2 linked regions of the Saccharomyces cerevisiae S288C genome follow. The protein of the gene in region 1 purifies or fractionates together with the protein of each later gene. This does not show direct contact. Each region holds a gene or a part of one and is shown in the gene's direction. Other genes may lie near its edges. The genes, in order: MYO4 and MLC1.

Evidence for each region.
Region 2: the proteins of MYO4 (region 1) and MLC1 purify together in Saccharomyces cerevisiae (affinity purification with mass spectrometry; 4 studies listed by BioGRID). This does not show direct contact.

What each region holds. Positions count from the first base shown.
Region 1 is NC_001133.9:87,173-94,153, reverse strand, and holds MYO4 (myosin 4), read left to right. Parts: upstream 1-1,883; coding exon 1,884-6,299; downstream 6,300-6,981. Other genes in the region: FRT2 (Frt2p), read right to left, coding at 1-1,254; SNAP receptor SNC1, read right to left, coding at 6,402-6,653, 6,767-6,868. UniProt on the Saccharomyces cerevisiae protein: Part of the mRNA localization machinery that restricts accumulation of certain proteins to the bud and in the daughter cell. Recruited to specific mRNAs including the ASH1 mRNA, coding for a repressor of the HO endonuclease, via its interaction with SHE3.
Region 2 is NC_001139.9:304,640-307,509, forward strand, and holds MLC1 (Mlc1p), read left to right. Parts: upstream 1-1,920; coding exon 1,921-2,370; downstream 2,371-2,870. Other genes in the region: RMD9 (Rmd9p), read right to left, coding at 1-1,634; ARC1 (Arc1p), read left to right, coding at 2,798-2,870. UniProt on the Saccharomyces cerevisiae protein: Essential light chain for the class II conventional myosin MYO1. Also acts as light chain for the class V unconventional myosin MYO2 and for IQG1.

The sequences.
Region 1 (6,981 bases):
AAGCTCTTTCCATCCAATGGTCCTGGATCTTAAGTCCCTTAGCTCTTTAACGATCTTGTCAAAATTTGCAATGTTTTTAACAAGGTCATTTTCATCTTTCAGAACCTCATCTTTCAAACTGTGCTTTAGTAAAGCTTCTGTCTGCTGTAACTGCAATCCGATATGACGCTGATAGTAGTCTAATTCATCTGAATTTAGCGAAAGATTCGAACTACTATATGTGATATTTCCAGGAGGTTCAAGAGGATCAACAGCCACTGACTGTGAGAATGACGTCGATGATGAAGACGATGAAGAAGAAGACAACGAAGATGAGGACGACTGCGAAAACGATGCATTGCAGGCGTCTTTTGGCGAAAGCCCAATGGGATTAGCAACGGCAGGAGAGGATTCGGAAGCTACAGAGGGCGGTCTTGAGGGCGAAACATGTTTCTTTGGTGAGCTTTCAAGATCATGGTAAAGCAAGCTCTGTAACGATATATCTGTCTGCGTGCTAGAACTCCCGTCTGATGAATGCGAATGATGTGTGGGTCGCTTGGAAGGCTTAGATATAACATTGGGCAATATTGGATCGAAAGCCGGCGCCAGTGCAGACGAATCCTTAGATTGCCCAGACGAAGAAGGCTCCATGGATTTCAAAAACCGGTGAACCAACCTTTTCTTGTCCTTCACGAAGGACCGGGAAGGTGATTTAAGACCGTACTTGTCGTTGTCTTTGTAATGGCGATGGGCTGGGTGCTGCTGGGCTTGCAACATCTTAAATGAGGGAAAATGGTCTTTGGCAGAGTATCCACCATCGAGAGGCTTTGATTCTACACTATGCTGCGGGAATGGTCCTTTAAAGGTGGCGACTACGTTAAATGGGTGTTTTGGCGAGAGTCCAGAAGACTTCATCGTACTGAGACTTCGTACTTTATCTGGTGCTGCGTTGAACATACAATCGCTGAACATTGCGGTCGAGGCAGACGTGTAATCCGGAATAACTTGACGATGCAGTTTATGACGAGCATGATGGTGCTCCATTTCATATTTCTGCTCTTTTTCGTGTAATGCAGCCAAATTACTGTGAGAGGCTTGCCATCCAACGTTTGGCTTAGTTTCAACAGTAGATTTGTGGCCAACATCTGGTGTTCCAGCGTCAATCATTTGCTTTACATCTTCCAGGGGTCTCTTTTCTACACCATCTTTGCTATTGCGATCTGTACCATCTATTCCGCTGCCTTTAGAAGAGCTCTTTATTTGAGCATTTTGCATTGTACCTGGACAACTACTGGACTACGTAAAAAACTGCCATCAATTTGTGTTATTCTTACTCTTTGAGACAATGTTTCATAACAATAGAACAATAGCTTTTTGACCTTCCCCTTATTTTATTTCAAAAGGTAACAGTTAGGGCTATTCTTAAACTTTCTTTAGGGTACACAATGAAAACATCAAGATTGAGTTAAAACCCTTAAAATAAAACTAGGTCTTTAAGAAACTCACTCTCCGGGTTATCCATAGAATGTTTACCATTCTTTAGGGTTCTGAACTAATGCGAAAAAAAAAAAAGAAAAGACTGAAAAATTCGAAAATATCTCGAAGTTTAGCAGTAGTAGATGAGAATAGGGTCTCTTTTATCGAAAACCTGCAATTGTAATACAACCTTTTTTTGAAAGTCAGCCTTTATTCTGATTCTGCATACTCAATTCCTCAATTCCTACGGAGTTATCACCTTTTTTTTTACCTTCTCTTCTTTTCTTATTGTTCTAGCTGAAAACATTGTTACCAGTTTGGCGAGACAATTTATTTTCAATACGATACCCTTTTGTTCTTCTTTTTATAATTCAATCTAATTCTAAAACACAAAAAAACAAAAAAAATCCTATAACCAGTTCTCCCGCATGTCATTTGAAGTAGGAACTAAGTGTTGGTACCCTCACAAAGAACAAGGCTGGATAGGCGGCGAAGTCACCAAGAATGACTTCTTTGAAGGAACGTTCCACTTAGAGTTGAAATTGGAGGATGGAGAAACTGTATCCATTGAAACAAATAGCTTCGAAAATGATGATGATCATCCCACGCTACCTGTACTACGAAACCCACCTATTTTAGAGTCTACTGATGACTTAACCACCCTATCATATCTGAACGAACCGGCAGTGCTGCATGCCATAAAAAAAAGATACATGAATGGACAGATATATACTTACTCTGGTATTGTCCTTATTGCCGCTAATCCCTTTGATAAAGTCGACCATTTGTACTCTCGCGAGATGATACAGAATTATTCTAGTAAGCGTAAAGATGAGCTGGAGCCGCACCTTTTTGCCATAGCAGAGGAGGCGTACAGGTTCATGGTCCATGAAAAGGCTAACCAGACTGTTGTAGTCAGTGGTGAATCCGGTGCTGGTAAGACCGTCTCTGCTAAATACATTATGAGATACTTTGCCTCAGTCCAAGAAAGCAACAATCGTGAAGGGGAAGTGGAAATGTCTCAAATCGAGAGCCAAATTTTAGCTACTAACCCGATCATGGAAGCCTTTGGTAACGCCAAAACTACCAGAAATGATAATTCCTCTCGTTTCGGCAAATATCTGCAAATTTTATTTGATGAGAATACTACCATCAGGGGGTCCAAAATTAGAACCTATCTCTTGGAAAAATCCAGGTTAGTTTATCAGCCAGAGACAGAAAGAAATTACCATATTTTTTACCAAATTTTGGAAGGATTGCCAGAACCGGTAAAACAAGAACTGCATTTGTCATCTCCCAAGGACTACCATTATACTAACCAAGGTGGACAGCCGAACATAGCTGGTATAGATGAAGCTCGAGAATACAAGATAACCACTGATGCCCTGTCATTAGTAGGTATAAACCACGAGACTCAGCTTGGAATTTTCAAAATTCTTGCAGGCTTGCTACATATAGGTAATATCGAGATGAAAATGACTAGAAACGACGCATCACTATCATCGGAAGAGCAAAACCTGCAAATCGCATGTGAATTATTGGGTATTGATCCCTTCAATTTTGCAAAATGGATTGTCAAGAAACAAATCGTCACAAGGTCTGAAAAAATTGTCACTAATTTGAATTACAATCAAGCGCTAATTGCTAGGGACTCTGTGGCGAAATTTATTTATTCCACGCTTTTTGATTGGCTAGTAGACAACATTAACAAGACATTATACGATCCTGAGCTGGATCAACAAGATCATGTCTTTTCCTTTATTGGTATTTTAGATATCTACGGGTTTGAGCATTTTGAGAAAAACTCATTCGAACAATTCTGTATAAACTATGCGAATGAAAAATTACAACAAGAGTTCAACCAGCACGTTTTCAAATTGGAGCAAGAAGAATATGTAAAGGAGGAAATTGAGTGGTCTTTCATTGAGTTCAGCGACAACCAACCTTGCATAGACTTGATTGAGAATAAACTTGGAATACTTTCTCTATTAGATGAAGAAAGTAGATTACCATCAGGCTCAGATGAATCATGGGCCTCAAAACTATATTCTGCCTTTAATAAACCGCCCTCAAATGAAGTTTTTTCGAAGCCAAGATTCGGACAAACGAAGTTTATAGTAAGCCATTATGCTGTTGATGTAGAATATGAAGTTGAAGGGTTTATTGAAAAGAATAGAGACAGCGTTTCCCTAGGTCATCTGGATGTTTTCAAAGCAACGACAAATCCAATTTTCAAACAAATTTTAGACAACAGAGAACTTAGGAGTGACGATGCTCCTGAAGAGCAAAATACTGAAAAAAAGATAATGATCCCAGCAAGATTAAGTCAAAAGAAACCAACCCTGGGATCTATGTTCAAAAAATCGCTCGGGGAATTGATGGCCATCATAAATTCTACTAATGTTCATTATATTCGTTGCATAAAACCAAATTCTGAAAAAAAGCCATGGGAGTTCGATAATTTGATGGTCTTATCGCAATTAAGAGCTTGTGGTGTGCTGGAAACAATCAGGATTTCATGTGCAGGCTTTCCATCAAGATGGACTTTTGACGAATTCGTTCAAAGATATTTCCTCCTGACGGACTACAGCTTATGGAGTGGAATTCTTTATAATCCAGACCTCCCAAAAGAGGCAATCGTCAACTTCTGTCAATCTATTCTAGATGCTACTATCTCTGATTCAGCAAAATACCAAATTGGTAATACCAAAATTTTCTTTAAAGCAGGAATGCTTGCATTTTTGGAAAAGCTAAGGACTAATAAAATGAATGAAATATGCATCATAATACAGAAAAAGATAAGGGCAAGATACTATAGGCTTCAGTATTTGCAGACCATGGAATCAATAAAGAAGTGCCAAAGCCAAATTAGAAGTTTGTTGGTTCGTACAAGGGTCGATCATGAGCTCAAGACAAGAGCTGCCATATTACTACAAACGAACATTAGAGCATTATGGAAACGGGAATACTATAGAGCTGCCATTGGGCAAATAATAAAACTACAATGTACCTGTAAAAGAAAATTGATTTTAGATAGTGTTAACAGGAAATTCATGCTCATGGCGGCAGTAATTATCCAAAGCTACATCAGATCATATGGTCACAAAACAGATTACAGAACATTGAAAAGGAGCTCCATTCTTGTACAAAGCGCCATGAGAATGCAGTTAGCTAGACGAAGGTATATAGTTCTGCAAAAAGAAGTTGAAGAACGGAATATTAGGGCTAGTTACGGGATTGGATTACTGGAGGAAGCTATCGAATTTAAGAACTCTTTCATTTTGAATCTAGAGATGTTAAATGACTCATATACAAGATTAACACAGTTGTTGCAGGGAGATTTGTCAAATATTCCATCTAAGCAAAGGCAAGAGTACGAAACGATAGTAAATGGTTATAATGATAAGATTTCCAAGCTGAAGACGTTACAAGTTGAAATCATGAATACTTTAAACAAGAAGAATGCCTTGAAGGAGAGAAAAAAGAAGCAATCTTCTTTAATACAGTCACATATGCAAAGTTTGGCTGCTATAAAAGGTAACAAACCTTCAAGATTAAGTGATGAAGTCAAATCAATGAAGCAAGAACTAGCGTTTATTGAAAACGTAATAGCACAAGATTTCACCACCACATATTCTGCTAATAAGAATGATAAAGTGAAAGGTTTGGGAATCGCAGGACAACAAGTAAAACCGAAGCTAGTCAATGTAATTCGTAGAGAATCAGGAAATCCTGATCTTCTAGAATTACTAATGGACCTGAATTGTTACACATTAGAAGTCACAGAAGGTTACTTGAAAAAAGTAAATGTTACTGAGGTGAATGGAGACAATGTTCTGGGTCCTATACACGTCATTACTACAGTGGTAAGTAGCTTAGTGAGAAATGGGTTATTGATTCAAAGTAGCAAATTCATCTCGAAAGTCCTATTGACTGTAGAAAGCATTGTTATGAGTCTACCAAAGGACGAAACAATGCTTGGTGGTATCTTTTGGTTAAGTAATCTTTCCAGACTTCCCGCATTTGCTGCAAATCAAAAAACATTATATGAAGCGAATGGTGGTGATGAAAAAGATAAGTTAACACTGATATATTTGAATGATTTGGAGAATGAAACTTTAAAAGTATTCGACAAGATTTATTCCACTTGGTTAGTGAAATTCATGAAGCATGCTTCAGCCCACATCGAGATCTTCGATATGGTTTTAAACGAGAAGCTATTTAAAAATTCTGGTGATGAGAAGTTCGCTAAATTATTCACATTCTTAAATGAATTTGATGCTGTCTTGTGTAAATTTCAAGTTGTTGACTCAATGCATACAAAAATTTTTAACGACACCCTGAAGTATCTGAACGTAATGCTATTTAATGACCTAATAACCAAATGTCCCGCGTTAAATTGGAAGTATGGGTACGAAGTGGATAGAAATATCGAGCGGTTGGTGAGCTGGTTTGAACCAAGAATTGAAGACGTTCGTCCCAATTTGATTCAAATAATTCAGGCTGTCAAGATATTACAGTTGAAGATAAGCAACTTGAACGAGTTCAAGTTACTATTCGATTTCTGGTATGCCTTGAATCCAGCCCAAATACAAGCAATTCTGTTGAAATACAAGCCTGCTAACAAGGGCGAAGCTGGAGTACCGAACGAAATCTTGAATTATTTAGCTAACGTGATCAAAAGAGAAAATCTGTCTTTGCCAGGGAAGATGGAAATTATGCTTTCTGCCCAATTTGACTCTGCTAAAAACCATCTGCGTTATGACACTAGTGCAATAACACAGAACAGCAATACAGAGGGCTTAGCTACTGTCAGTAAAATTATAAAATTAGACAGAAAATAAGAACAAAGTAAATATACGCCCATATATGTATATATGTATATATACATATATCCTACACTACATATGGAAGCTCCCTATATATATAGCATTGCGAGTGAACTTCTATCGACTAAAGTGAACAGCAATGGGGACGATGATTACAACAAGCAATATGATGATTACTAAAGCCAGACACATCTTCATTTTTAGATCCTTGTACCACATGGCTTTTCTGACCCTATTGGCACCCCTCTTAAAGCCTTGGGCTGAGACCGCTAGGTTATCGGCTTTATCTTCAATGGACGTTAATCTTTCACCTCTTTCTGCTACTTTATTTATGTTATCTCTCATTATTCCCACGGTATCATCAATTTCCTAAAAATAAACACGAAGAACGTATATGAATGTATACGCATAAGTATCAACGATGTAGAAAGTTAGTATAATGTTAATTTCCTAGATGGTACTCTGTGGCTTTCTGTACTTACAGCTTGTAGTTCCGCAGTCCTTGACTTAGACTGTACATTCTGGGGTCGTTCTTCATCGTGCTCGGATAGAGCATAAGGGTCAAAGGGAGTAGATGACGACATGGACAATGAATACGTTGCGCTTGCTATGTCTTTGGCGCAAATTTTCAATGTTTAACTAATACTTTTGACGATCTTTCTTATAGATGCTGTGGGAAAGACCCTTAAAAATGTCT
Region 2 (2,870 bases), on another chromosome or scaffold:
GAAAAGACCTTTTCATCCCTCTTTGATTGTGACCATACGACAGTGGCATCCCTCAAAGCGGACAGATCAGCATTGGCTATATATTGTTGGCCCAATTCATTCAGTTTCTTGACCAACTCCAGCCATCTATCCAGAATCTCTTCATTATTCGTGTTGTCTATGCTTCCCAATGATTTCAGTAGTATTCTATATGATATAATAGTTCTTGGAATATGGTACAAAGTATAGTTTTTATCGATAAAATCGATTATGCTGCGTTCGTGCCAGATAGATGCTCTAGTTAACATAACGTTAAAAAATGGTTCATCAATTTTTTTGACCCCACTGTAAAACGTTATGATTTCTTGAAGCTTACGGAAACCATTGATATTGTCATTAATATAGTTTTCGAAGAATATTGTGAAAAAAGTGTTGTTTAGTGAGGACAAAATTCCAGGATTAACAGTGTTACCATAAAATTTTACAGCCTTTTCCCATATTCTATAAACATGATCAAAATCGTTCTGTGCTTTCCATATATTCTGCAAAAAAGAGTTCACTGTAGAGACTTGTAAAATAATCTTGTATGGCATTTCATCGTTGATAATTTTGTCAAAGAAACTTTCTGCCAACGTTAAATTCTTGGAATCACCAATGAAGCTTAAGTGCGTTTCAATTAAATAACCGTAATTCCTCACTTCAGCCTTTTCACATAATTGGCCGAAGAGGGATAATGCCTTTTCGTAGTCTTCCGCCTTGATGAAGACTTTTATCAGTCCGCTGTAAAGATTGGGATGGATAAATTCTTTGGATTGAATAATTTGGTTATATAGCTCGTTAGGCTCAGTCAGAGAACGCGTTTTTGCATAAAGTAATGGCAGCATAAAACCAACCACTTTTGGTTCTTGGAATGCCTGTGAAGTAGTCTCGTCGGACAAATTCTTTGACGCTTCCCAAATTCGAATACAGTCATCGTCAAATGACAGCTCTTTAAATGAAGTCAATAGATGAGTAGCTCCATATCCGCTGACAGACACCTTGCCTATCAAAATGTCATCAGATATATCCTTTAATGAATTACATAGAAAGTTCATCATTTCCTTGTGAAAAGATTGCGAATCGTAGTCTGGCTTTCTACTTAATTTTACCAATTGGTCTCTCGTCGACCTCAGACCGTTATGCAGCAGATGAATCAAACGTGACACCCGGTACGCATTGAAATCAGGCGATTCTCTCAAAGAATAGTATAACTCCATTGCTCTGCCCATGGAGTCCCAAAACATGGCGAATGATGGATTTTTATTCAATTGGTTGTTTCCTATTCTTTTGTATGTATTTTGCAAAGGCGTGGTAGAGTACTTTAAAGCAGATGATACACACTCATCAAACGAAAGAAGCTCGTGGCGCCATGGAGAAGCTGGATCCACATTAAACACATTCTGTTCTGTTTTGCGCTGTTCTCGCCCATTCTTCTTGTCCAAAACGCCCTTAGGTACATTTTTATGAAATATCGGACTGGAGTGGTAAGTACGGTCGCTAAGAACTACGTTGGCAAGCTTACCTCTCAGCATTGCTATCGAACCGGAGTTAACAACGTTGCTTACGCTTATTTCCATAGTTTTTAACGATCTCACCGCATTTCTTCTAAGCATCATTGTCCCTTTTGCAGTATATGGACTCTCCGAATAGTGTAAGAAAATGACACTGAAACCTCACCTTCTTTTACTTATTGCTTAGACCCTCATTACAATGCCATACTGAATACATTTTTTCGAATCTTGTTCAGTCAGGAACCTCAACCATATATCATTACACACGAGTAGTAACAAAAGCATTTTGAAGTAAGATTTGAAACAAAATAATACTCAGAGTAGATCGACGTATAAGAGTTCCTTCCCCAGCGTATTCCGCCACCACCCATCGCACATACATAGAATAACAATGTCAGCCACCAGAGCCAATAAAGATATTTTCACACTATTCGACAAGAAGGGTCAAGGCGCCATTGCCAAGGATTCCTTGGGAGATTACCTGAGGGCAATTGGCTACAACCCCACCAACCAGCTCGTACAGGACATCATAAACGCGGATTCGAGCTTGAGAGACGCCTCTAGCTTGACGCTGGACCAGATTACAGGCCTAATTGAAGTCAACGAAAAGGAATTGGATGCAACTACCAAGGCAAAGACAGAAGACTTCGTCAAGGCATTCCAGGTCTTCGACAAGGAAAGTACAGGCAAGGTATCCGTTGGTGACTTAAGGTACATGCTAACTGGCTTGGGTGAAAAGTTAACCGACGCTGAAGTAGACGAGCTGTTGAAGGGTGTTGAAGTGGACAGCAACGGAGAAATTGACTACAAGAAGTTCATCGAAGATGTTTTGAGACAATGAGAGTGCGGAACTGCAAATTTAGACATTTATTACTATATAACAGAGTCCTATCGACATAAAAACGAAAAAAGCGCCATTATGCAATGAAAACTTGCCAGCGGTTTTTCATTTTTCATACTGGTAATTCAGAGAGCCAAGTCTTTCTTTATAATGCATAGCAATAAATAGTCATATATATATATATATATATATATATATGTACATATATATGAACATATATATGAACAAATAAATGATAATGGTATGTGATAGTCATTATTAACGATTAAGCGTTTTTCTTCAGTTTCTGAGGGATTCTAACCGCTTGGCGATTTTGCAAGAGATAAGAAAATTTTTCAGTCATATGGATAACCTAACACAGCGTGCGACGTATTTTACTTCAGGGCCCAATTGAATAAGAAAGTATAATATAGAGTTTCAAGAGTCAATGTCCGATCTCGTTACCAAGTTCGAATCGCTTATTATTTCAAAGTATCCAGTTTCTTTCACTAAAGAACAAT